Drosophila melanogaster: one gene and its partners. The protein of the gene in region 1 purifies or fractionates together with the protein of each later gene. This does not show direct contact. Each region holds a gene or a part of one and is shown in the gene's direction. Other genes may lie near its edges.

What was found.
Region 2: the proteins of Act79B (region 1) and Scp1 purify together in Drosophila melanogaster (affinity purification with mass spectrometry, with the first as the bait; one large-scale study listed by BioGRID). This does not show direct contact.
Region 3: the proteins of Act79B (region 1) and Cf2 purify together in Drosophila melanogaster (affinity purification with mass spectrometry, with the first as the bait; one large-scale study listed by BioGRID). This does not show direct contact.
Region 4: the proteins of Act79B (region 1) and TpnC41C purify together in Drosophila melanogaster (affinity purification with mass spectrometry, with the first as the bait; one large-scale study listed by BioGRID). This does not show direct contact.

The regions. Positions count from the first base shown.
Region 1 is NT_037436.4:21,983,569-21,987,707, forward strand, and holds Act79B (actin 79B), read left to right. Parts: upstream 1-1,641; 5' UTR 1,642-1,680; exon of another isoform or gene 1,681-1,756; 5' UTR 1,757-1,782; coding exon 1,783-2,707; intron 2,708-3,069; coding exon 3,070-3,275; 3' UTR 3,276-3,622; downstream 3,623-4,139. UniProt on the Drosophila melanogaster protein: Actins are highly conserved proteins that are involved in various types of cell motility and are ubiquitously expressed in all eukaryotic cells.
Region 2 is NT_033778.4:2,965,051-2,969,972, reverse strand, and holds the start of Scp1 (sarcoplasmic calcium-binding protein 1), read left to right. Parts: upstream 1-1,920; 5' UTR 1,921-1,989; intron 1,990-2,628; exon of another isoform or gene 2,629-2,656; intron 2,657-2,781; 5' UTR 2,782-2,826; coding exon 2,827-2,878; intron 2,879-4,922.
Region 3 is NT_033779.5:4,877,077-4,884,996, reverse strand, and holds Cf2 (chorion factor 2), read left to right. Parts: upstream 1-1,889; 5' UTR 1,890-2,108; exon of another isoform or gene 2,109-2,132; intron 2,133-2,195; exon of another isoform or gene 2,196-2,504; 5' UTR 2,505-2,604; coding exon 2,605-3,782; intron 3,783-4,524; coding exon 4,525-4,703; intron 4,704-5,800; coding exon 5,801-5,976; coding exon of another isoform or gene 5,977-6,141; 3' UTR 6,142-7,887; downstream 7,888-7,920. Other genes in the region: CG3008 (uncharacterized protein), read right to left, coding at 1-606, 658-1,350. UniProt on the Drosophila melanogaster protein: Transcriptional regulator; binds to the promoter region of Cp15. Also binds to its own promoter, thus having a probable autoregulatory role.
Region 4 is NT_033778.4:5,064,736-5,072,159, reverse strand, and holds TpnC41C (troponin C at 41C), read left to right. Parts: upstream 1-1,949; 5' UTR 1,950-2,172; coding exon 2,173-2,178; intron 2,179-5,155; coding exon 5,156-5,183; intron 5,184-5,236; coding exon 5,237-5,632; intron 5,633-5,696; coding exon 5,697-5,731; 3' UTR 5,732-6,923; downstream 6,924-7,424.

The DNA.
Region 1 (4,139 bases):
CGGGCATTATTTTTACCTCTTTCAACTACTCGACGCGCGTACGACCAATGATACGTGGTTGGTGTCCGTACCTGATCCGCAAGGTGGTCACGTAATGCTCCGCAGTTGGCGAGCACTTGGCAAAGTTAACGGGCCAAAGTTGGAGCTCAGAAGTTTGCTCCTTTGGGGAATGCACTCGCTGCAGTAAAAGCAGAGTGCATGCACCTCCTCGGATGGGGCACACTTAATTAGAATATCGGGCATTAATCTTATGGCTAATGCCACGATGAGATCGAGCGATATCGGTGGACAGGCGCAAAATTGCTGTTGGCCGCATGCACCGCTGCGCCAAACCCCCCAACCACTTTCCTTTGGGCTCACAGGGCTATGTGCCGTGCATAGCCGTACAAAATTATTTGATTCTATTTTTTCAATTTGATTTCAATGAAATCCACACGACAGCGTCAACATTTATAAGATGTATAAACGCAAGTGCTTTGGCTGCATTTTTGAGTGTGACAACATTCGGGCCACACCATCTATGGACTGAGTGGGGGCCCAGAAGAGCATTGGCACCAATTTCTCTTACTCGAGCAGGGAAAAGCTGCCTACAAGACCAAGATAAAGAACTTGGGGGAAAGGCTGGCCACTACATTGCATTGTTCACGGGTTGTTCTTGTTGCTGCGCCGCCGTTTTGCGGGGGTTTATTTATATAAAAACTTAAAAATATATCTACAGATGCCTATACAAGTCCTGGCGCATATTTCGATATGTTCTCTCCTCTGTTCTTTGTCGAAGTCATAGCAAAGTTGGCAGCCAGACATAATTTAGCGAAAACGAAATGAAACTAAGTGATAAATGGTATTTGGGAATGGAGCAAATTGAATACTCTGAACGAACGCAAAATCCCGATAATGCTCTGACTAATACGACTTAGGGCCTGATGGAAATAAATTATTCTATCAAAAAACGGAGAGCCTATTGTCAGAGCTTAAATCGAAGCTCGTTAGATAAATCCATTTGTTAGCTTTGGCTTAACACATTCTGTCATTTGATGCTTAAATTAAAAGTAATTGGAATACCCAATTTTGCTATTTGTCAAAAAAATATATCTATTGTGTATATTTGGGACTATTGCCATTCTAAAACAATATATAAAATAAATATAAATATTTATATTATGTATGTATATTTATGACTATTGCCATTCTAAAACAATATATAAATATCAAAACTATCTAGCCTAAGCCCAGCGTTCCAATAAATTATTTATTTTCCCAAATTTCACAAGCTTATAAGTGTGTGCGGATTAAAATTCTAACAATATAACAAGACTTACAACTTACAAAACAACTTATTTTATATTGAAATCTAGTACCAATTTAGTTGCTCTAAGTTGTGGCTTAACTAGGGTTCTTTAATTCGTAATCCAACTTGTTGCCGTAGGCGTAATACCCGAAATCAGAACACTTTTGTGAAATCGAAATGATGTGCATCCGACCACCCTCCCCGGAAACGCCTGATCCCCAGCCAGCGTTGCATATCGCGGAATTCATCAACATGTTACTAGATGAACAATTGTTCGAGATGACAGGGACATGGGCGTGGGGCCGGCGGGGCGGGACAGAACTTATTTAAATGCAGCTGCCGGAGCGCATAACGAATCACTCTGATCGCTGTCGCTGTTGGATTTACACGTCGTGAGTGTAGTCTTGTCCGCCCATCCGAAATCCGTAACCCGCATAAGGGATAACCGATCTGTCTGTATCCTTGTAGTGCCGCCCGCACCAAACTAACCAAACATGTGTGACGAAGAAGCATCAGCCCTGGTCGTAGACAACGGCTCCGGCATGTGCAAGGCCGGATTCGCCGGAGACGACGCGCCCCGCGCCGTATTCCCCTCGATCGTAGGCCGTCCCCGTCACCAGGGCGTGATGGTGGGTATGGGTCAGAAGGACTGCTACGTGGGCGACGAGGCGCAGAGCAAGCGCGGTATCCTGTCGCTGAAGTACCCCATCGAACACGGCATTATCACCAACTGGGATGACATGGAGAAGGTCTGGCACCACACCTTCTACAACGAGCTGCGTGTGGCCCCCGAGGAGCACCCCGTTCTGCTGACCGAGGCTCCCTTGAACCCCAAGGCCAACCGCGAGAAGATGACCCAGATCATGTTCGAGACGTTCAACTCCCCGGCCATGTACGTGGCCATCCAGGCCGTGCTCTCCCTGTACGCCTCCGGCCGTACCACCGGTATCGTCCTGGACTCCGGTGACGGTGTCTCCCACACCGTGCCCATCTATGAGGGCTATGCCCTGCCCCACGCCATCCTTCGTCTAGATCTGGCCGGTCGCGATCTAACCGACTACCTGATGAAGATCCTCACCGAGCGCGGCTACAGCTTCACCACCACCGCCGAGCGCGAGATTGTGCGCGACATCAAGGAGAAGCTGTGCTACGTCGCCCTGGACTTCGAGCAGGAGATGGCCACTGCCGCCGCCTCCACCTCCCTGGAGAAGTCTTACGAGCTGCCCGATGGCCAGGTAATCACCATCGGCAACGAGCGCTTCCGCACCCCGGAGGCCCTCTTCCAGCCATCGTTCCTGGGCATGGAGTCCTGCGGCATCCACGAGACCGTCTACCAGTCCATCATGAAGTGCGACGTGGACATCCGCAAGGATCTGTATGCCAACAATGTGCTGTCTGGCGGCACTACCATGTATCCAGGTGCGTAGTCTTAATTAATTAGGACCATAAAGTTCAGAGGAAATTCTTCCGAGGGAATGGGATCAAAACTATGCGGGATACTTAAAAAAAAAAACAAGTGTTACTTTATACATTCATTTGGCAGAGAGGAAATCTTTAAATAATAAAGCCTAAATATTTAGCTGAGCTTTGTAATAACAGTTAAAAAAAATCTTATGGAAAGTAGTATTACAAAAAAAAAAAAAAGAATTCACCTAATGGGTTATATCCTTTCCCTATATCTCATATTCATGCATGCTATTATTAAAATGTCATGTAATGAGTACACCAAAGCTCCTCGGTTCTGTAGCACCACTAATGGATTCTATTTCTGTCCTCTTCAGGTATCGCTGACCGTATGCAAAAGGAAATCACCGCACTTGCCCCGTCCACCATCAAGATCAAGATCATCGCCCCGCCAGAGCGCAAGTACTCCGTCTGGATCGGTGGCTCCATCCTGGCTTCGTTGTCCACCTTCCAGCAGATGTGGATCTCCAAGCAGGAGTATGACGAGTCCGGTCCCGGCATCGTCCACCGCAAGTGCTTCTAAGCATCCAAGCCACCCAAACCAGATCAACATCTCCTCGAGCGCGGCCCTGGTGTTTGTCTCCAGCGTAAGACATCCGACCAGGCGCCGGCGCCAAGGGTGAGGACGCAGTTCAGTGAAAAGTATCTTTAAATTACATTTAGTTGATGAAGAAGTTTTAACATAGATAGAGAAAACAAGAGAAAGAGACGAGAAAAGACCGGAAACGAGCGGCAACGCCTTCTTTTTTTATTATTATTGCTATTTTTATTTGATTTGACTCGGAATTTGTACTGCTTGACTCGCTTGCCAGCGCGTAAAGTGGCCAAAACAATCGGTTGTACGTACAATAAAAACCAATAACCCATGTGAATCGAACCCAAGTCGAACGTCACAGGAGCAGCAGGAATGCGTGGTGGGGAAACTTTTTTAATTAGGCCTCGACGAATGTCAATCAGGCACTTGCCGGCCAACTTTTATTCTCTAACAGCTGCCATGGCAATCCCCCAGTACGGGTATCTGTATCTGTATCTGTATCTGTATCTGTATCTGTGCATCTATCCCCCCGCATGCTCTTCTGTCACATTTTCACAAACCCAGATGGATTTTCCACACGAAGAGAGGTTGCGAGGAATGACTTCTGGAGGACTGAAGTCGGAAATACAAGGAGCAGCGACAGTCTTAACTGGAGCCCAACTGCTCACAGAACTTTTCGCCAACATAAATGTTTGTGCTCAACTTTTGGCTGCAAACTTTTGAGGTTTCGCCAAACTATGCATAAACCAGGTGCCGAAAACTGTTGCTTAATTAGTTAGGGCCAAGCTTGCTGGAGTCGCCAAAGAAAAGAGTCTAACTGGGTTTATTGGTCTAATGTCTGCTGCTAAGTCG
Region 2 (4,922 bases), on another chromosome or scaffold:
GGTGAAAATACATAGCGGCCACTCCAGATCACGATGACCTGGTCATAATAGAGCAGAGCTCATTGACAACAATAACCAACAAGTCATTGTTTACAAACAAGAAAGAATAAACAAACTGACTACAGTATCTAAAGCTCTAACAATTTCTATACAAAAGGGCAGTTCCGTTCGTTTAGAAATTGCTCTTAGTTTACAAACCCAGATTAGACTCCTAAAAGTAGAAACTGCCATCCAGTGGGCGCGACAAGAGGTCGTAACACACTAGTACTAAATGAAGATGAATTAATTGAAATAGAAAGAATATTTAAGGGAAACAACATGTTATTACTATCGATGAAAGAAGCTATGGCGTTTTCCGAGGTCTCTATTCTACATAATAAGACAACACATTTGTACATCGTAAAAGTCGCAAACTTTATAGAAATACTAAGATATCATTGTAAAACCAATAGTTAAAAACAACAGAACTACAACAACTTAGACTTTCAAGAAATCTTTGCTTTCGAAAATCTTACCTATATATACATATATAAATATGCGATGAGAAAAAAATTGTAAATATAAGAAATTAATTAATTAAATTAGTTGATTGCTCTCCAAATTTAGTTCTGGGAAAGAAAGATCTGTGTAGTTTTAGCAACTCCGACAACTTATCCAGAATGGAAGAGGTCGACGACGGAATCATCCTATTAAACGATTACGATGGAATCATATCCTGGATCCTCACAGAGCTTCACCTACTTTGTTTAGCTATCAAACGACTCGATGATTATCGACAACAGGGGGATTCGCCAACTTGGAACCTACAGCCCTGTCTCCTAGTTCGCCTCTTGTACAATTTACAGATGAAGAAAAAGAAAGACTGAGGTTATATCTCTTGAAACACTGAACCGTTGCATATACATAAAAGGCCAACAGCATAACCCTACTGACGCTCTTCGACAATACTCTGATTATCATCCTGGGCCTTCACACCTATAGTCAAAGGAAGAGAAGCATAAACTTGCAGCTTAGACCTATACCGGGAATGGAAACAAAAGTTAACATCAGCTACCTCAGTTCAATAACATTCCCTACATAAATTAGAAAGTTAAAGTTAATAACAATGAATTCAACATCGGTCTACAACAGAATGTAATAGAGTAACAAACCCCAAATATGCAAGCTCAGCGCCACCAAGCAGATTTCCCAAAATGTGTTTGGCAATTGTTTCCGCTCCCACCAGCGCTTGTGATTCCAAGAAGCCGACGTCGATCCTCTGCCAATAAGGACAGCACAGCCGACAGCTAAAGACTCGCAGCTTATAAAGACGATGTTCTCACTTAAGTTTATAGTCCAACTCTTTTAATGCTCGTTACTCATAGAGTAAAAGGGTATACTAGATTGGTTGAAACAGGCAGAAGAAAGCGCTTCCGACAATAAAATGTATATATATTCATGATCAGGATCAATGTATCGATTTGCAAAAAAAAATTTTGCCACGCCTACTCAAACGCCCCAAAGCCGACAAGCCGGTCACCCCCGCACTTTTGAAAAATTGTTAGATATTTTTCATAATTTTATTGGTCGTGTATATTTCTATTGATTTGCCAAAAAACTTTTTGCCACGCCCACTCAAACGCCCTAAAGCCACCAAACCGGTCACGCCCACACTTTTTTAACAATTTTTTATTTTTTTTTCATTTTATTTTTTTTCTAATATCAATCAATCAATCGATATCAATCGATTTTCCAGAAAAATTATGAACTTTCGCGTTAGCATTGACCCTAGCTTAGTTACTGGTATCTGATAATCAGGGAACTCGACTATAGCCTTCTCTCTTGTTTTATATTATTATACCCGTTACACGTAGAATCAACGAATCTAATTTTACTCTACACGTATGGGGCATAAAAACATATATATATTTTCTTATATGTATATATATTGTTTTTATATAATATTATATCTTAACAGTAATAGACAACTATAGACCGCCGATCACAATGGTAATAAGACATAAAACTGTACATTTGAATGTTGAATATTGTATCTCCTATATATGTATATGTATATGTACATAAAACCGAAAATAAGAATTGTGAGTTTTATAAAATGTGTGCTTTATAATAGGTTATGCATGTACTATAAATATATACTTGTGAATATACATGTGTGTAAGCTTGCAAAAATAGTAAATATTTTTCTATTAATAATCATGTCAATTAATTATCAATTCTTTAAATGTTAAAATGATTTTTGATATATTTTACTATTAGTGTTCAAATACAAAATTAAATAGGGGTGAATTGTTCGCTTTTTTTCCATTTTAAATGGTTAATTAGAGCATAATCTATATGGAAACTTTCACGAATAACATTGTAACAGGTAGGCTTAATATTTGGTAGTAGAAAACTGAATTGTTATTGATTGTGATTTCAAAACAGTGCTATAGTTTACTTAATACAATAATTACATTTAGTACAATGGAAACTCCTAATTAAAAATAAACTACCTTTTGAAAGAGAACAAATATATACAAATGCACTTTCTATACAATACACATTTGTATGTATAATGTTTAGATACATACCATGTAAATAATGTTGCCAAAGTGTACGACTTTTGGCAAAAGGTTTAGCAAATTTAGTTAGTCTGAAGTAAGCTATTCCGAAGGTAAGGAGCTCATATTTACTATTCAAGAACTTTTTACCTAAAAGTACTATTTATAGATACCAAAAAATTTTAATTTATTTATAGACTTTTATTAGTTCAGATAGTAATGGTATTTCTACTTTTAGCTATTTACATTTTATGAGGATAAGCTCCAAACAAATTCCGTCATAATGGCTTATTCCTGGGATAACCGTGTCGATTTTGTCGTTCGGTATATGTATGGTGAGTAGAAAAGGACTTAGGCTTATTAAACGTATCCTATAGTGAATTAAAATACCTTAAAAATTTACGTATATTTTATACAAAAAATTTAAGTTTATATTCCATTGCATTGAATACATAAAGCCATTTTTATACATATCTTCGGAACTATCCGAAATCCGATATTTTAACAATATATACATTTTATTTTAATTTTATTTAATATGGGACGACTATATCATATAGCTGCATTAAGAACTGCTTGAAAATTAAACACCCAAAATAGAATATAAATAAAAGTTTCGTTTTTTAACACTATGGGTGCTAAGTAGACATATATGTTTTTGTAATTACTGAAAGGGTATTTGGATAGGATTAATCAAATTTGCAAGCGCACAAATACAATAAAAATAACATTTACAATTGCTGCGGATCAGATTTATGTAACAATCTCAAGTCTGGCAATTTAAATGTTGCGCCATATTTATGATGTAGTTTTATAATCCGTTAAAATGAGGTCACATGGAACCGGTCAAGTGGTCATTGCAGCTTATATGAGGTTAAGCCAAAGACATTTGAAGAACAAGATGCGTAACGCCATACAATTTTTTGCACACAATTTTATCGGGATGGCTCCAGAGGTGGCTCAGCAGTTCTTTTCTACGCATACAGTGACAGCCGACAACTGTATGGTAATGCATTGTAAATTTGACAATTTACAAGTTCATAGACTTTACATCTGTATTATCTTTGTTTAATTGGCAACATGTAAAAAATTCTTGGCTTGCATGGCCTTAACCAAAGACCCTAGTGTCTAGTTTCTTTGCCTTAACTATATTATTATTTGAATATATATGTACATAATATCACAAAATAAATTTCAAAGATGACTATATTAGAACAAAGGTTATTAGGGCGTTCACTTGCCCCTTGTGAAAAATTAATAAGGCAATCATTGTTGCAATAAACGTGTTCGTGTCTCAAGATATGACTTTTGCAATAAAAAGTTTTCATATTTTTATTCATTTTATAAATATTTATTTTCTACTACTTATTATTTTTGTGAAATATCTTTTCCTCAATGTAATGACTTCTTTTTGGAAAAGTTATGTTTTAATTTAAAATTTTATTATTTTATTTTATTATCCGTTTGATTAAAGCTGACTATACGCCGAGCTTCTCTATTTTTTGAAAGTTTCGCTATATAACCTAGTTTATATATTTAATTAAAGTCGTTTTGTTGCAATATCGTACTTTAGGTGATATATTCAAGGTGTAAATTCGTAATTATTATTTTATTTTATCATATTGCTAAGAAATTGGGTATACTAGGGTATACTAGACTCGTTGAAAAGTATGTAACAGCCAGAAGGTAGCGTTTCCGACTATATAAAGTATATATATTCTTAATCAGGATCAGTAGCGGACATGTCCATCTGTCCGTATGAACGTCGAGATCTCAGGAACTATAAAAGCTAGAAGGTTGAAATTAACCATACAGGTTCTAGAGATAAAGACGCACACTCATTTTTTCATATTTTTATTAGGCTTTAAAATTTCTATGGATTGGCCACAAAACTCTTTGCCACGCCCACTCTGACGGCAGGTTACAGCTAGGTTATGTTGATCATTAACCGAAATTATATTAGGCTAAGTTAAGCCGAGCTTTAAATCTCTCTAAATGCCTATGGGACTCTTGTGGACTCCAAATGGCAACCTCAACTTCACTTGGTCGTAGGGAAAATATTTCAGAGTGTTCAGACAACACGGTTTTCGAGTGTTCGCTTGGATCTCCAATCGCTAAGCTATGAAATCACTGAAATCTATATTCATTGTTAATGGTTTACAATATTAATCTTTGTGCAAATTAAAAGTGTTCCTTTTTAATTATTTGAACAAAAAATTTTTATTTTATTATAATTTAATATTTTATTCATGATAGACCTTTTCACTTATACTATTACAAGACATTCTTTTTATCTCTTGTCTTAAATTTAAAACTGTTCACGATCTCGTCCCGATTCAGACTGATCTTCTAAATATTAATCCTAATCCACTCAACCTT
Region 3 (7,920 bases), on another chromosome or scaffold:
ATTGTACAACTTGTGCATCGCGGCCACAATCTCTTCGTAGGCGCAACTCAGCTCCGCGTCGCTCAGACGGGCATCCTTTAACTTGGGCGCAGCGTTATGATTGTCACCGATGAACCGCATTACCAGCACGTGCTTCTTCAGCACAACAACGTCTGGAACGTTTAGGCCAATGGCTTGCATCCTCATCAGATTATGCATCTCCTTCTCGGCCCACATATTGATAATCACTCGGTGGTTTTGTTTGCTAAAGCGATCCTTGAACCGATAGTCATCCTTGATGTATCTATCGCGCTGCTTGAACTCGTTGAGCGTGGTTTTAAAGATTTTAATGGCACACTCCCGGGGCAAAAGCTGCGGTGGAACGAGCACACCACTCTGGTGACCATGCTCGTTGCTGCCCGTATAGTTCGCATCGGAATTGGCGTGCAAGATGACCGCCTCCTTGCCCGTGGATATAATGCCGTTGATCTGCTCCAGTATTTGGTTATTGATCAGCTTGTACAGCAGCAAACGTGTACCCGCATCCAATCCCATCTCCGCGGTGGCCACTTTCTCGTGCTTGTCGGAGCGGCCTCGTCGAGAATGGGCTCGTAGTTGGTTAAACACCTGAAAGGTACGTTTAAGTCTTATTATCGCTTAAAACTGACCGCTTCTAACCTTATTGGAGAGCTTCATGTCGAAACCGGCAGCATCACCGGTGGGAAACTCCGGCGGAAAGGACATCACGCGCTGGGCATTACGCACGGCGCACAGCTGCGGATCGTGCTTTGTTATCATCTCGCCCTCCTTGTTAACTTTAAAGCCGCAGCGAGGTATGGAGTCAAGCTGCCGTTCATTGTCCTCGAACCGATCCCAGTCGTGCTTCTGTTGCTCCAATTCATCCTCTTCGTAGTCATCTTCCGCGGTGTCGTGCAAGAACTCTGCATCGCCATCACGTAGGAACTTATTGAGGGTAACAGTGACCTTGGATTGCTTGTTTTGCTGCCGCTCGATACGACGCAATTCCTCATTGTACTCGTGATCGAACTGGGACTGCAACAGCTGGGCAATAACTGCATCGCTGTCTTCCGGCAGCTGAATGTCCTCCGCTACGTTTCCTTCGTCATTGAGGAGCGCAGAGTAATCCTCCCAATCCTCCGCATCACTTTGGATACTCTGCGCATTGGGCGCTGGCGGGGATGAGGCTTGCGACCCCCAAACGGGTGCTATCTGTTCGTCCGGTCTTTTCAGCTTCTCCGTGTGGCGCTGCAGCTCCTTGTCGTGCAACTTGTGGGCATATTGCTCCGACATTATATCCGCCAGATTCACCTGCTGCACAGGCTCGCTGGTCTTAACCCATGGCGACGACATTCTGCACAATCGAAAGAGAGTCAATATAGATCACAATTTGGTGCTGTGATTCCACAAACCTATTGGAACTTGGCTTGAGAAGATCGAGTTCTATATCGGTGGTAATTGTGGCAGTTTACAAACAAGCCTCTGTCCAAATCCTGACCAACGGCGGGTTGCAGGTGGACTCTGATATGTCCGCGGTGGAGGACAAGTGACAGTTTTGGCACTATAGATGACCAATATAAGGGGAAGCCAATTGCAACCCTTGTTGCAATAATATTTCTATTGTATTTCTCCAAACAATCCTTTTTCCAATTGTTGTGAAATTATCAGCTTATGAAAGTATCGAGCTATCGCAGAACGATAGACCCGATAAATTTGGAAATAGAAGAACTCCTAATATCGAAAGCTTTGCTTACAATTTTTATAACGTTAAGTTAAAGTTATATTATACTTTAATTTGCATACTTAGAAAACGTTTTATTTGTCATATTTTAGGAAAAGGCAGAAAAATATATCGTTAGCAAGGGCGTTGCCACATCGTCAGTTCTAGAGCGACGTTGCCATCGTAGTTTCGATGCCAGTAATCGATACTTTTTGTTGTAGTTGTACATTTTTCGCCAAAAATAATAATAAAAGTGAAAAATTTTTTTTGTTAATATACGTTTATTTGTTGTACAAAGGAGAAAATGTTATTAAACTGATTGGCCGCCCCAGCATTTTCGTGACCCCCGCTCCAAATACAACAAAATCGAACGGCCGCCAGCAACAACAAGGTGCAGTAAATATTCAGTGCGCTGGTAAGAAAGATGGAAACAAAACGAGAGACCGAAAAAGCAATCAAAATAGAATTCCGAATTTAGAATATGACAGACTGAAAAAAATTTTCAATTCGAACGCATTGCCGCTGCTGCTGCCCGCTCCTCTTCTTCTTCATCTCCTCCTCCTTCTTCCTCTTCTTCGCCAGCCGCTGTGGGGGGACATTGGGGGTCAAATGCAGAAGATCGGGACTGAAGATTTCGTGAATTTGTGATTTCCGAATTCGTTCCTGCTAATTTGCGACTGCCAGACTCAAAGAACACACACACACATACACACCAGCACACACCCACACGCTTGCACATACATTCGCTTGTGGCCGCCTGTAATTATGATTTTTATTACTCCTGCAGCGCATATCGCCTTCTTTAACCGCCAATTGCTCCTGCTCCTGCCCACTAACCAAGTCAAACCAAAAGAAGCGATTACTCTCCAAGCGCCAGCGGAAGTGAAATGATAAAGTCCACCACGAATCCACAGGAACAGCGTCTGCCACGCCCCGAGGATCAGTCGCCAGCGCCGCCGCCGCCGCCCCCCTCCTCAGCCACCACCTCCACCGCCGCCCCAGCCACGCCCACGCACCAAGTGGCCACCGTGATAGCCAACATGGACACCCTGAAGACAGCCTTTCTGCCCAATCTCAGCATGGACCCCAATGTGCACGTGTCGCCGCACTATTGTCCCATGTGTCACCAGCAGTTTGAGCGACCGCAGCACGTCGCGGATCACATGCAGCTGTGCCACGGGATCACGCTGAACGCCCAGGGAGCCATTGCCACGCTGGACGGCGGTCATCCGCAGGCACAGCAGCACCCCAAGCTCAGCCACCCCTGCTTCAATTGTGATGAAAAGTTTGGCAACGCCGTCGATTTAGACGAACACCATCGGCTGGCCCATCAGACGCCCGCCTTCCTGTCCCGCTGCCTTATGTGCAGCATCTATGGCATCCACTCGGCCACCCAGCAGCCCAACGAGTACAAATGCACGCAGTGCGGCTCCATTTGCACCACCGCCATGCTGGCTGCCGGACAGCAGGGCTTTATGGAACAGCAGGAGGCGGCGGTGACGCCCGACGATCAGCTGCCGGCAATGGCGCCCCGTGATATGAGACTGACGCCCGAGGAGCAGCACCATCAGCAGCAACTGCAGGCGGAGCACCACCATCAGCAACAGCACCAACAACAACAACAGCAGCAGCAGCAGCAGCAGGAACTGCTGGAGCAGCAGCAGCGTGAAATGCAGGAGCAGGCGCAACAGCAGCAGGTGCACCATCACCAGCAGGATCAGGATCTCGCCGGCGACCAGGTGGCGCTGAAGGTGCCACCACTCACCGTCAAGCTAAACAAGAACGCCAACGGTGGCGCCATTGTGTCGCATCCGCAGGTCATTATCAAGGAGGAGCCACTCAGCCTGAGCGACAGTGGTGATGTTGTCAACTCTGTGCCTGTCTATGCCATACAAGCCAATCCCGGTGTACCCGCTCCGGCCAGTTCGGGTGTGCTAGTCGGCACACAAACGGTACCTGCCGATCTGGCGCACAAGATCCGGCACAAATGTCCGGATTGTCCAAAGACCTTCAAGACGCCCGGCACGCTGGCCATGCACCGCAAGATACACACAGGCGAAGCAGAGTAAATCCATTTTATATGCATCTTACGGACTGGGTATTCCGGCAATGATAGCTACTGGACAGCGACTTTAAAAGCTCTAGTCGAGTAACTGGCATTTGATGATCTTATAGATATTTTAATGATAGTAGTTAGTTTGTTAGTTAGTTAGAAGTGATGGGATATTGTCGTGCAAAGAAGAATTTATAAAATATTGATAGATATAGTATAGATCGCAGTGTAATCTCAACAAGATTAAGTGTCTTTGCATCCAGGAAAGCTTTCAGTTGCAATGCTTTAAGATAAGAATGCTTCCTAGCTCATTGCCGGATTACCTGTTATTCATTCCAAGGCATTGCCCGCTCTAGCTCAAAGGGGGGGATACCCACGTAGTTTTTTGTGGGTCTTCCTTTGCGACTGGGGCGGCGTGATCGCCGAACTAACCCCAATAATCTTACCACCTTGTATATATATATATATATATATTATTTTTGATTTCCTTCGGGCCAGCTGGGCGCATGGGCGCGCCCTCGAAGCTCTGGGACGAGGCCCATGCGTTCGTGTGTCGTTTGTTTTGCAACTTATTTTTAAATCGAGTGTTACTAATAATATAATTTAAATTTCTTTCTTTTCTCCCGCGCCCACTCTCTCTCTCTCTCTCTCTCTGTATCTTTTTCCTCTCCGTTTCTGCGCGGTATTTTGTGAATATGAATATAAATAATTGTTAACTCTCGAATCTCCACTCTCCGAACCGCAACTCCGACAGCGCCACGCCCAAAGAACGCCCCTACACGTGCTCCTACTGCGGCAAGTCCTTCACTCAATCGAATACACTAAAACAGCACACTCGCATACATACAGGTGAGAAACCATTTAGATGTGGCTATTGTGGCAGGGCGTTCACTGTTAAGGATTACCTGAACAAACATTTAACGACTCACACGGGTGAGAAGCAATATTTTTCAAATCAATTCAGTCAGTCAATCAGCTCTCAATCAACTCAACCAATCAATCGACTTTTCAATCAACCAATCAATCGATCAGTAAATTGTCACCTCAGCGTGATGAGCAAAAAAAAAAAAAACAGCAATACTCAAAAAAGAGAAACCTCTGTATGCAAGTCCATTTCCATTTGCCATACACAAACTCGCTCAATCTCTATCAATCAATCTCGATCAATCAGTACCAATATCAATCTCTCTCACCTCTGCCAGTCGTCCTGCCGAAGCTCGATCATCAGACTCGAGCCGCCGCAGCGGCTGCGCAGAAAACCACGCCCAAAAAAGGCGGCAAAAATCCCCAACCTAATGGCCAAGATTCAGATCTGGCCAGGATGTCACTTGCTAGATTATATTCTCCGTTAATTACAGTCTAAATAATCGAATTATAGTAATTAGTGAGAAATTGAGATGATTAATGTGAAATCAGTGTGCAATTAAATGAATAATATAACGTTTCGATTATGTGTGCTTCTATATTAAGATCTTTCATCTTGATTGCATTGCAAAAGCTTAATTTTAGATTATAATCAAGCGTCTAGTTCGAGTTTCTATTCGATTTCCAGCAAGTGACATTCGGGGCCTTGAATTTTTGCCGCCTTCGATTAGCGACAAATAACGAATCGTATGAGTCACAGTTTACATACCCTCACAGAACGAGAAAATATGAAAAGATCATCAACTATTTTTCAGCAAAAGCTTTCTGTGAGGGTAGCCAAGCAATATGATAATCCAAATCCGTATCGCCCGCCGCCTCATCTCATTACGTAATAATATTTCTCGAATGCATTTTAACAAACACCAACCAAATATATACACACATTTAATATATAATCAATATATATATATAGTTTGATTACGTGCAAAACCTATTTGATATGCATACATATCTACTCTACCCACACATCCACCACTCTCAGTCAATCAATCAATCAATCAAACCTTTGGTACTGCACGCACCAAGCAAACTGGCTAAGTGCTAGCGACATGTGCTAACCGAGTATCCCAACTTTCTCCGTTTCGCCAATCGTGGCTGTTTTGCAGGAGAGAAGCCGTTCCACTGCGGTTACTGCGAGAAGTCCTTCAGCGTGAAGGACTATCTGACCAAGCACATACGGACGCACACCGGCGAGAAGCCGTACACCTGTCCGTATTGCGACAAGCGCTTCACGCAGCGCAGCGCCCTCACTGTGCACACGACCAAGCTGCATCCGCTCTAGGGAAGGCCGGGCGGTGGCCGCCAGTTACCCGTTCCTGCCCCAGCCGCTCCTCCTCCTCCTACTCATCCTCCAAATCCTTCTGGTCCTGGTGCGCCGCCGCCGTTGTCCGCCGACACGGATACAGATCCCAAGAAGCCATCTGCGGCGGCTGCGGCATCGGCTTAGGACGAACTGCAGCGGAAACGGGATGAGCAAACCATAAATGAAAGACCATTTCAAAGACGAGACACACTCACGTAGACGGGAGTTATGCAACTGCAGCGGATGCAACAACTGCAACCAACGACTGGCAAATCTCTTCGCAGTGCTGCTAGATTAAATTACTAAATTAGATACATACCTTCAGTTCGGTTAACACAGAAGCAGAAGCAGAAACAGATTTGTACTAAATTAGCATACAGTTCGTAGAATGTTTAAGTTATTGCAATCGATTTTTGATTCTTATTACTATTTGGTTATGTAGATGTTTTGCAATTTTTATTTTTTATACACCTATGTATATCGTATATAATATTTTGTTATTCTATGAGATTTTATATGGTGACTCCATAGCGCACACTCACTTACGCGCGGCGCTATACAGACACACACACAAACACACACACACCCAAAACTACACACAACACACATATATTATTTATAAAGAGAGAGAAAATATTTTTACTCATATACTTTGTGGCAATATTATTTTTATTACTTCCTTAAATTGTTTGTAAATGTTACTGAAAGCAGCAAAACAAAAAGAAAAAGGTAAACTCATGTCTACGCGCAAAACTTAAATTATTTTTATAAATTATACATCTATTTTATTCGAACTCAAAACAACACAAAATTATTTATTTTTACGTGAAAGAACGTTTTTCAAAATTTCGACTCGTAGCGGAAATGACAAAGGACCAATACGAAATTTAGTCATTTCTCAATTATTTGCACACGAGCAGGATCTCGTTTGTTTTGGCTTTAAAAATTTATTTACTTTTAATTAACTAAATGATCTAATCATTTTAGCTTGTTTTTATTGATGAATGTTAACCATTGTTTATTTTTTAAATTATTTAAGTTGAAAGCGCTGCTTTTGTTTGTTAAACTAAACTAAACTAAACAGTGAGATTGTATAAAACTTTAAAAAAAAAAGGAATAACGAAAAACATAACTAAGAAATTAATTTTACAAAATTTGCATTTTTTAACGCAAAACAAAAAGTATTTAAGGCAAATCGAAATGAGAAATCTACGCTAAACGCAACACAGCTTTATGCGCCAAACTAGAAGATTAAAAAAAAATTAACATAACGATCTACACAATTGATACTTTTGATAAAAAGAAAGCTTCAAGTTGTTTTTGTAATATATATAAATATGGATTGATCATTTTTACGACTACTTAAACGCGTTTTTTTAAACCAGCAAATGATTACTTGCAAGAGTTGTACGTACTAAAATCGACTAAAACTTAAACTAAAACTGTAGCAAAACCAAAACCATGTACATTTTTATAACATAGTGTTATATAATTATAAAGTATGCAAATATATAAACCTGTATCTAATATTAATGCATAATACACTCAAACAAATTGTCTACCTAATGGCACATAGCACAGCAACAAACGATGCGCAGCGCATGTAAAACCAAAATAAATTCTAAGTACTAAACTATTGTAATTCTTTAAGTTTTAAATAAACCGTGAAGAGTTGACGATCAAAAGCAAACAGCAAAACGCTAAATGCAGCAAAAAAAAAAGAAACGCCTAACTAACCGCAACACTGAAAAAAAAAACCAATTAACTCTGCTGTAAGTGATTACCAATGAATGAGTCATGTTGAATGCGATACGTACTAAATAGCGACTAACTATTAGTATTAGATCTTAGCCACGAATCCAAAAACGAAGCCAGACAACAGACACACAGAAACAGAAACACGAACATGAGCAAGTGAGTAAT
Region 4 (7,424 bases), on another chromosome or scaffold:
GAACCTGGTTTACAAATAATCGTAGTTAACACGGATGGGAAAGCTCTGCGACCATGCCGGAAATACTCGCAGACGGCATAATTACAGCTATACTGGTGGCAAGCTAATGCACACGGGGCCGGCTACACGCAGGCGGCACCGTTGCAGGTAACACTGCTGAGAAACTCTACGAAAATGCCCGTAATACTCGGAGACGGCATAATAGTAGTTAACACTGATGGGAAAACTCTGCGGCAATGCCCGGAATACTCGCATGCGACATGATCACAGTTAATACACGGACTCGTTCATTTGTTACTCATATTCCTCCCTTAGCCATAGCTGTCCCTGTCACACTCGAAAATGAATATGATATTATATAATAAAAAAATTTGATTCTTCACAACGGGCTTGTTCCACAGTTTTTGAAATCGAAGGCCATAGGCCAGACTGTCTTATTTTAGTATTCAGAAAAAATATTGCCACCGACTTAGAGTTGGACTTATCAATCCAAGGGAATCAAACGCCTTTTCTATCGTAGAAAGAATTGATCGTCTTGTTCTGTTACGAAGATACGAATTCATATCATAAGTCCAGTTTGAACTTACAATCCGATCTAGATATCTTTCAAATATGGTGCCGTGATAACGTACTAAACTTAAATGGCTCCAAGTGTAAAGTTATGACCTTTTGCCGTATCAACCAATACACACAACTTGCACTTAAAGGGTCGCTCTTTAGACAGAATAAAACGGGTTGATGATCTTGGTGTTTTTCTGGACCTAAACTTAAATTTTAGACCATATTTCGAATATTAAATAAGGCCAGGGGTGTGCTTGGCTTTATAAAAAGGTGGCCAAAGGAATTTTATGATCCTTACACGACCAAAACCTTAGTCCGTCTGATTTTTGAGTAATGGCCACCTGTCTGGAGTCCTCAATACGTCGTTCACTCGGACCGCATTGAATCGGTCCAAAAAAACGTTTTTCTGTTAACTCGGGCAGCGCCCAAGTTATCAGTGTGTCCAAAGGGGGAAGCTGATGAGTTTGGATATAGTTATCGGTATTCCCAAAGGGGGCATACTGAGCTCTTTCGAGTTTAAAACCAGAGTGGTCTTTATTGTGTCGGAGAAGTCTCCTCTAGCTCTTGGTTACTCAAGTTTTTGTCTTATAGATAAGTGCTTTTGGTTTTAAGTGTACATAGGTTCTTAATGTAAATATAATAATTTTTTTAGATTTTGCACCACTTACGGGGAGCATTTTCGAAATGTATTCAAACATAAATTGGCCAGAAGATAAGCAAATAAAGCAATAGATCCGCTATTCAGCTAGTGAGAGCGGGACCGATTTTTGAAACTTTCTGATCAAAAATGTATATACTTTATAGGATCGGAAAATCAACCTTCTGCCTGTTACATATTTAATAACGAATCTTGTAGTCAAGGGTATAAAAAATATATTCCGTTGTTTTATGTTTCATAATATGATTTTTTCATGATTTTTTATATATAATAACTGCGAGGGTGTATAAGCTTAGGAAATGTTATATTTTTATTCTATTCATAATTTTTTTGACCAATTTCTATAAGTATGCCCAAAAAGATTGGCCACGTCCACAATAAATGTAACCGCTACCAGGTTGCAATTGTGAGTAATCTCGTGAAGAGTGTTTTCTAATTTTGTTTTTTGTGTCTCCATTTCCCTTACACTCCCACACGCTGAGTATCAGAAGGGCGAGAAACAAAATTATAGCGTTCGCTCTTGTTTTTGAATTGCAATTTTTGTTCACAAATACCATTTTATAATACGTTCCAAGATCTAATGCAATGTACGGTTTATAAAAATAAAGAATTTTGATGAATATTGTGTATCTAAAAATAAAACTCTGAGTATTTTTCTGTCTTGTGGATAAAATTATCTTTGAGTTACATGACATACGGAATATTTATGTTGTCTTTTTTATTTGGTTTTAATTGTTGTTTTTGTTTCAACAAAAATAGTTGCAGAGCTATCATCGTATTAAGTCTAAAATGTTCCTGAATGTTGAGATGCATCCACAGAAGACACATAGCCCATATGTGTTTTAATCGCGTCAATACCAAGTTTATTTCTCGTCTTCAATTGTTTATTTAGCTTTTAATTAACGGAGTGTTCAATTTTTTAATATTAGAGATTAATCCAAAGAGCTAAAAAAATGAGCGTAAGTTAATCGGCAAAAAAAATAATCCCAGTATAAGTTTCCAAGCTACTTCGAGTTAAAATTTCAAGATTAAAGGAGTCAAAATTATTTCAGATGATCTCAATACTGAACGTTTTTCAGGGTGCAATCAGTTCAAATAAAATAAGTAACGATATAACGTTTTATATAGAGAGTTAATGCTTAACGCCCACGTTCCAGCAATGTTTGCTCGATAACTTTTCAATTAAGTCAGAGAATAAACATATTGTACATTCAACTAATATTTCTTTAAACATCATTAAACAGCTCACACATGTATTTGATTTGCAAATACTACATTTTTACTTTAAGGAATCTTACGTTTTTGGTCCGTCTGTCAGTCAGTCCGTCTGTCCGCATGTACAGGTACATTTACATCTATATACACCCATTCTTGATCACTAGTCGAATCGACCAGGTCATGTCCATCTTCCTGCCTATCTAAGGTATAACAAGAGAGAATGCTATAGTCGAGTTCGCGAACGCGAATTGCATTATTTTTCTGGGATATCGACAGATATTGGGGAGTAAAATGAGAAAAAAATAAAGAAAAGTGTGGGCGTGACCGATTTGGCGGCTTTAGGGCGTTTGAGTGGCGTGGCAAAAAGTTTTTTGGCAAATCTATAGAAATTTACAAGACCTTCTAGCTTTTATAGTTCCTGAGATCTCGACGTTCATACGGACAGACGGACGTGGCCAGATCGACTCGGCTATTGTTCCTGATCAAGAATATATTTACGTTATATAGTCGAAAACTCTTTCTTCTGCCTGTTACATACTTTTCAACAAATCTAGTAAACCCTCTACGAGTAATGGGTATAAATATCGAAATCCGTGGTTAATTTGAAAGTAGCCTTAAAGATTCTTCTGAATCCGTCGTTTCTATTTTCTAGCTTTTATGGATCCCAAAATCGCGTGTATATGATCAGAATAGCTGACCAACTGACGACCAGATTGACTCGGGTAGTGGTCCTGATACTGATTATGCTTATACCTATATTCTTTTTAGGGACGAAAAAGCTTCTTTCTACAAAAATATCAAAGATGGGGTTTATTGAATTTGTTACTTTTCTAAAACAGAGATTCATATTTAGAAAGAAAAGGTAAAGAAAGTGCTCTAGTTAACAAGTTAAGTGGGTCAAGATTAGTGCAGATAAGTGGAGCTAACTTGAGAACATCTTACTAAGAAATAGAAGAAGAGAGAATGCTATAGTGGGGTTCTCCCAGTTTTCTGCGGTATTATGGCGTTAGAGTGGGCGCGGCAAAAAGATTTTTGGAAAATCGATACAAATTTAAAAGACATAAAAGTTTTTTTGCAAATCGATAGAAATTTACAAACAAAAAAATTTAAAAATATCAAAACATTTTTAAAAAGTGTGGGCAATTTTCTGCGATTTGTGGTCGTTAGAGTGATCGTGGCAGCATGAGTCAATGAACTTGCCTTCCGTATATGTCTCTAGAATCTGTAAGCTTAATTTCAGAAAGCTGAAATCGAGACGCTGAATACGGACAGACGGACATGGAAATATCAACTCGGCTTTTGATGCTGATCAAGAATATATATACTTTATATGGTCTGCCTGTCTGGAAATCTAGTTAACACTTTTATCCTACGAGTAACGGGTTGATAGAAAAATTGTTTTGCACGCCCACTCTGACGCCCACAAGCCGCCCATTTTTCTCATTATATTCTCTAATTTCTCCCTATGTCCAAAAATGTCTCGTTCACACTTCCAGCTGAGAAATAGCAATTTATCATGTTTTTGAAGCCTACGGATATCCGATCTTTTAGAGATCCCTCTGTAATTGCTTACATATATTTGTTTATGAAGAGGTATCACGGACTCCTCCCATATATATAAAGGGTAAAGTAGAGGCTTGCATAAGACTTTCGCACAGAGCCTAAGCACTCAGCGTGTTAAGACTGGCTTAACTCGCTGAAGATCGTAAAGTAGTGAGCTTTCGTTTGAAGTGGGGCAAAATTTCAATTTGGACTTCTAAGCCGCTTAAGAGTAAGGGTGTTCGTCGGGGAAGTTTAATTCCCACGATCCCTCTTTCATATTTTTCATCTTAGCTTCAAACTCCTTCACCACCGTACTTTTCGGTCGAAAATCATCAGAACACTTCAAAAAATAAAATGTCACTCACGCAAGAAAATTTAATATTTTCCTTTTTAATGTTATCGGCTTTGGAAGACAAATCTTAAAATTAAAGTAGACATGATGATTGGGGACTTCGGGTACTGTTTATTTTAATGATATATAAATCTTGGTAAGCCTATCACCTCTCCAAAATAATGAGAATTATTATTAAGTTAATTTTTTAATTAAAAAAAATGATTTGTTTTCCCACCGTTCGTCTGTCGTCAACTCTCACTACCGCATAAAAGCTGTCGATCATATAACGATAGGGCAGTGTGCCCGGCTTAGGACTTGTCTTAGCCGACTAGAGTTTTTGTTGGTGTTGGCTAAATGTTTGTACTGAATGAAATATTTCGCCCCCGGTTTATTAACTTTTCCAATAACTTTTCCACTTACCGGAATAGACTCGTTTATTGGCGATTTTCTTTCGTTGCTATTAGTGTGACCCATCATGCAATTCTTGGCTTTAACCTTGAATTTTACAATTTTATAAAATCAAGCAAGGTAGGACCTCCTTTGGAAGGGACAATTTTAGCAATTCAGCTATGTACACACCACAAGGCGGCTTTAAAAATGGCGAATATTGGAGGAGGAAAGCCGCTTTGCATTCCAATCGATTTCCAAAACTATCGTTGACCTTACGTGAAATAAAAACTAATCACTGGCATTAGATTGACATCAAACCACACATCAGGCAGTTAACAATTAAGAATTCAAACACAGTTAAAGTCATGACGCATAAATATATTAAATGAAATTGTATTTTAGTATTATGCCTATATTGTATATTTCTAAATAAACACCCTTATTTTTCTTAGGATGAATTGACTAAGGAGCAAACTGCATGTAAGCTTATAACCCATTTACTGATTTCTTAACTAAAAAGCATTTCCTTATAGTACTACGTAATGCATTTAATGCTTTTGACCCTGAAAAAAATGGATATATCAACACAGCTATGGTGGGTACGATACTTAGCATGTTGGGTCATCAACTTGATGATGCAACTCTTGCTGACATTATCGCTGAAGTCGATGAGGATGGTTCGGGCCAAATCGAATTTGAAGAATTTACCACCCTGGCAGCCCGCTTCCTTGTGGAAGAGGACGCTGAAGCTATGATGGCTGAATTGAAGGAAGCTTTCCGCCTTTACGACAAAGAAGGAAATGGATATATAACTACTGGTGTTCTTCGTGAAATCCTGCGCGAACTAGACGATAAATTGACAAATGACGACCTGGACATGATGATTGAGGAAATTGATTCCGATGGATCGGGTACTGTTGATTTTGATGGTATATAAATCATACAGCTGAATTACAAACGCTTTGCTATTTTATAACATATATTATTTTATAGAATTTATGGAAGTAATGACCGGTGGCGACGACTAAAACAATATCAAAAGAGTACATCGAAATAAGTATTTTAATTTAAACAATGCAATCAAAATTGAATGACATGAGAAAAAATTATATTATATTATTTTGTCTAAAGTAAATAAGTAAATTGATCGTATGAAAACGTAAAATATTTTATTCTTACGCATTTTTTTAAAACCCTTTTAAGTTACTTTAAGTAGTCCTGCCAAATGGAATAAATCTCTATCGGTTCCACGCAAATAGTATAGTTTAGTTTTGTATAGTTTAGTTTATAGTTTATAGTCACGTTGGCCGTGTTGTTAGAGGCCTTGGACTGCTTGCGCCACTTTAGTCGAACTGCATTTTCTTTGTTGCTATCAGTCTGACTCAACGAGCCATTTGTTTCCCCCCTTTGCTTCAGACTCTTGGCTGCTCGGAATTTAACGTTTCTGTAAGGGAGGTGGACGAGTACGGAGCGTTAAGAAATTTTTGGTACATCGCAGATTGAAGTCCAAGCGGATTAACGGATTCACTCGCCAGTCAATTTAGAAAAATTAGCTGGAAGACGGATAATTTTAAGGAATTATGCGTAAAAACGACAAGGATTGTTTTTAGTCAAAAAGCACGAAGTGATAAACAATGCCTTAAGAGAATTATAAAAAAGATATTGTCCGATTAATAAATCTGGAGAATTGAAAGGTAAAACATTAAAGCAACTAGAGCGATACAATGAAAATGATACAGGCCAATATTAAATTCCTCATTAAGCATTTATAAGAGAGGATAGTCTTATCACTAAGCTTCGGGTGGTGTTTGACGCAAAGACCAAAACAACAGATGGGAAAAGCTTTGGTATTCACATGACTAGGACATACATTTAGAGGATAGGCAGCACGTGCTTTCCCCTCCCACCACCTCTAGCTGACCAAATTGCAGCTGAAGTCATTGTTCTGCAAGTGGGTCATTATCTACTCTACCTCCACCGCCGGGAATGTCGGTGTCAGCTAGCGCAGCATCAGCACCGGAAGACAGGCTAACGACTCTGGAGCTCTGCAGCGTACCGATGATGAAAGGGCATACGGACCTTGTGTTTGGCTAAGCGTTGGGCCGCTGAGCTTACGAGCGGCTGGCGAAGCGCTGGCCACTCGTTCGATTTTCGATTTTTTTTTTTATCAAATTATAAAATTGTACTTAATTATAGAAATAAAAGAAACTAAGACCTTGAAGTATTCATTTTTCATATGGTGAAAACCGAAAGCATGCAACTCCCTGCAAGGATTCCAACTCCAAGTAGTATTTTCGACTGCTTAGATTGGCGCCCGAACAGTTCGCTCATCACGAGGATGGAGAATGAAAAAAAGGGGAAAATGCTTGCGACCGGTGCACCGCGGTGATGAGAAAAAACTATAAAATGTGAACAAAAAGTCCAAATAATAAAATACAATAGGCTGATACGCACCACGGTGACAAGATAGTTCACGGGTGTGATGTGCCAGATGTGACAACTAAATATTTAAAAAATCCAAATATGAAATAAATATAAAAATTAAATAAATATATATAAAAATAAAAAAAATATGGCAAAGCGTTAAGCTTGTTCAAGGGCATAAGATAAGATAAGATAAGATATATGAAATCAATTATGGTGCACGGTCGTGAGGGGAAACCCTATTGTGCGGAGACTTACCAGAAACGCTAAGAGGCGTTGAATGCGATCCATACCTTA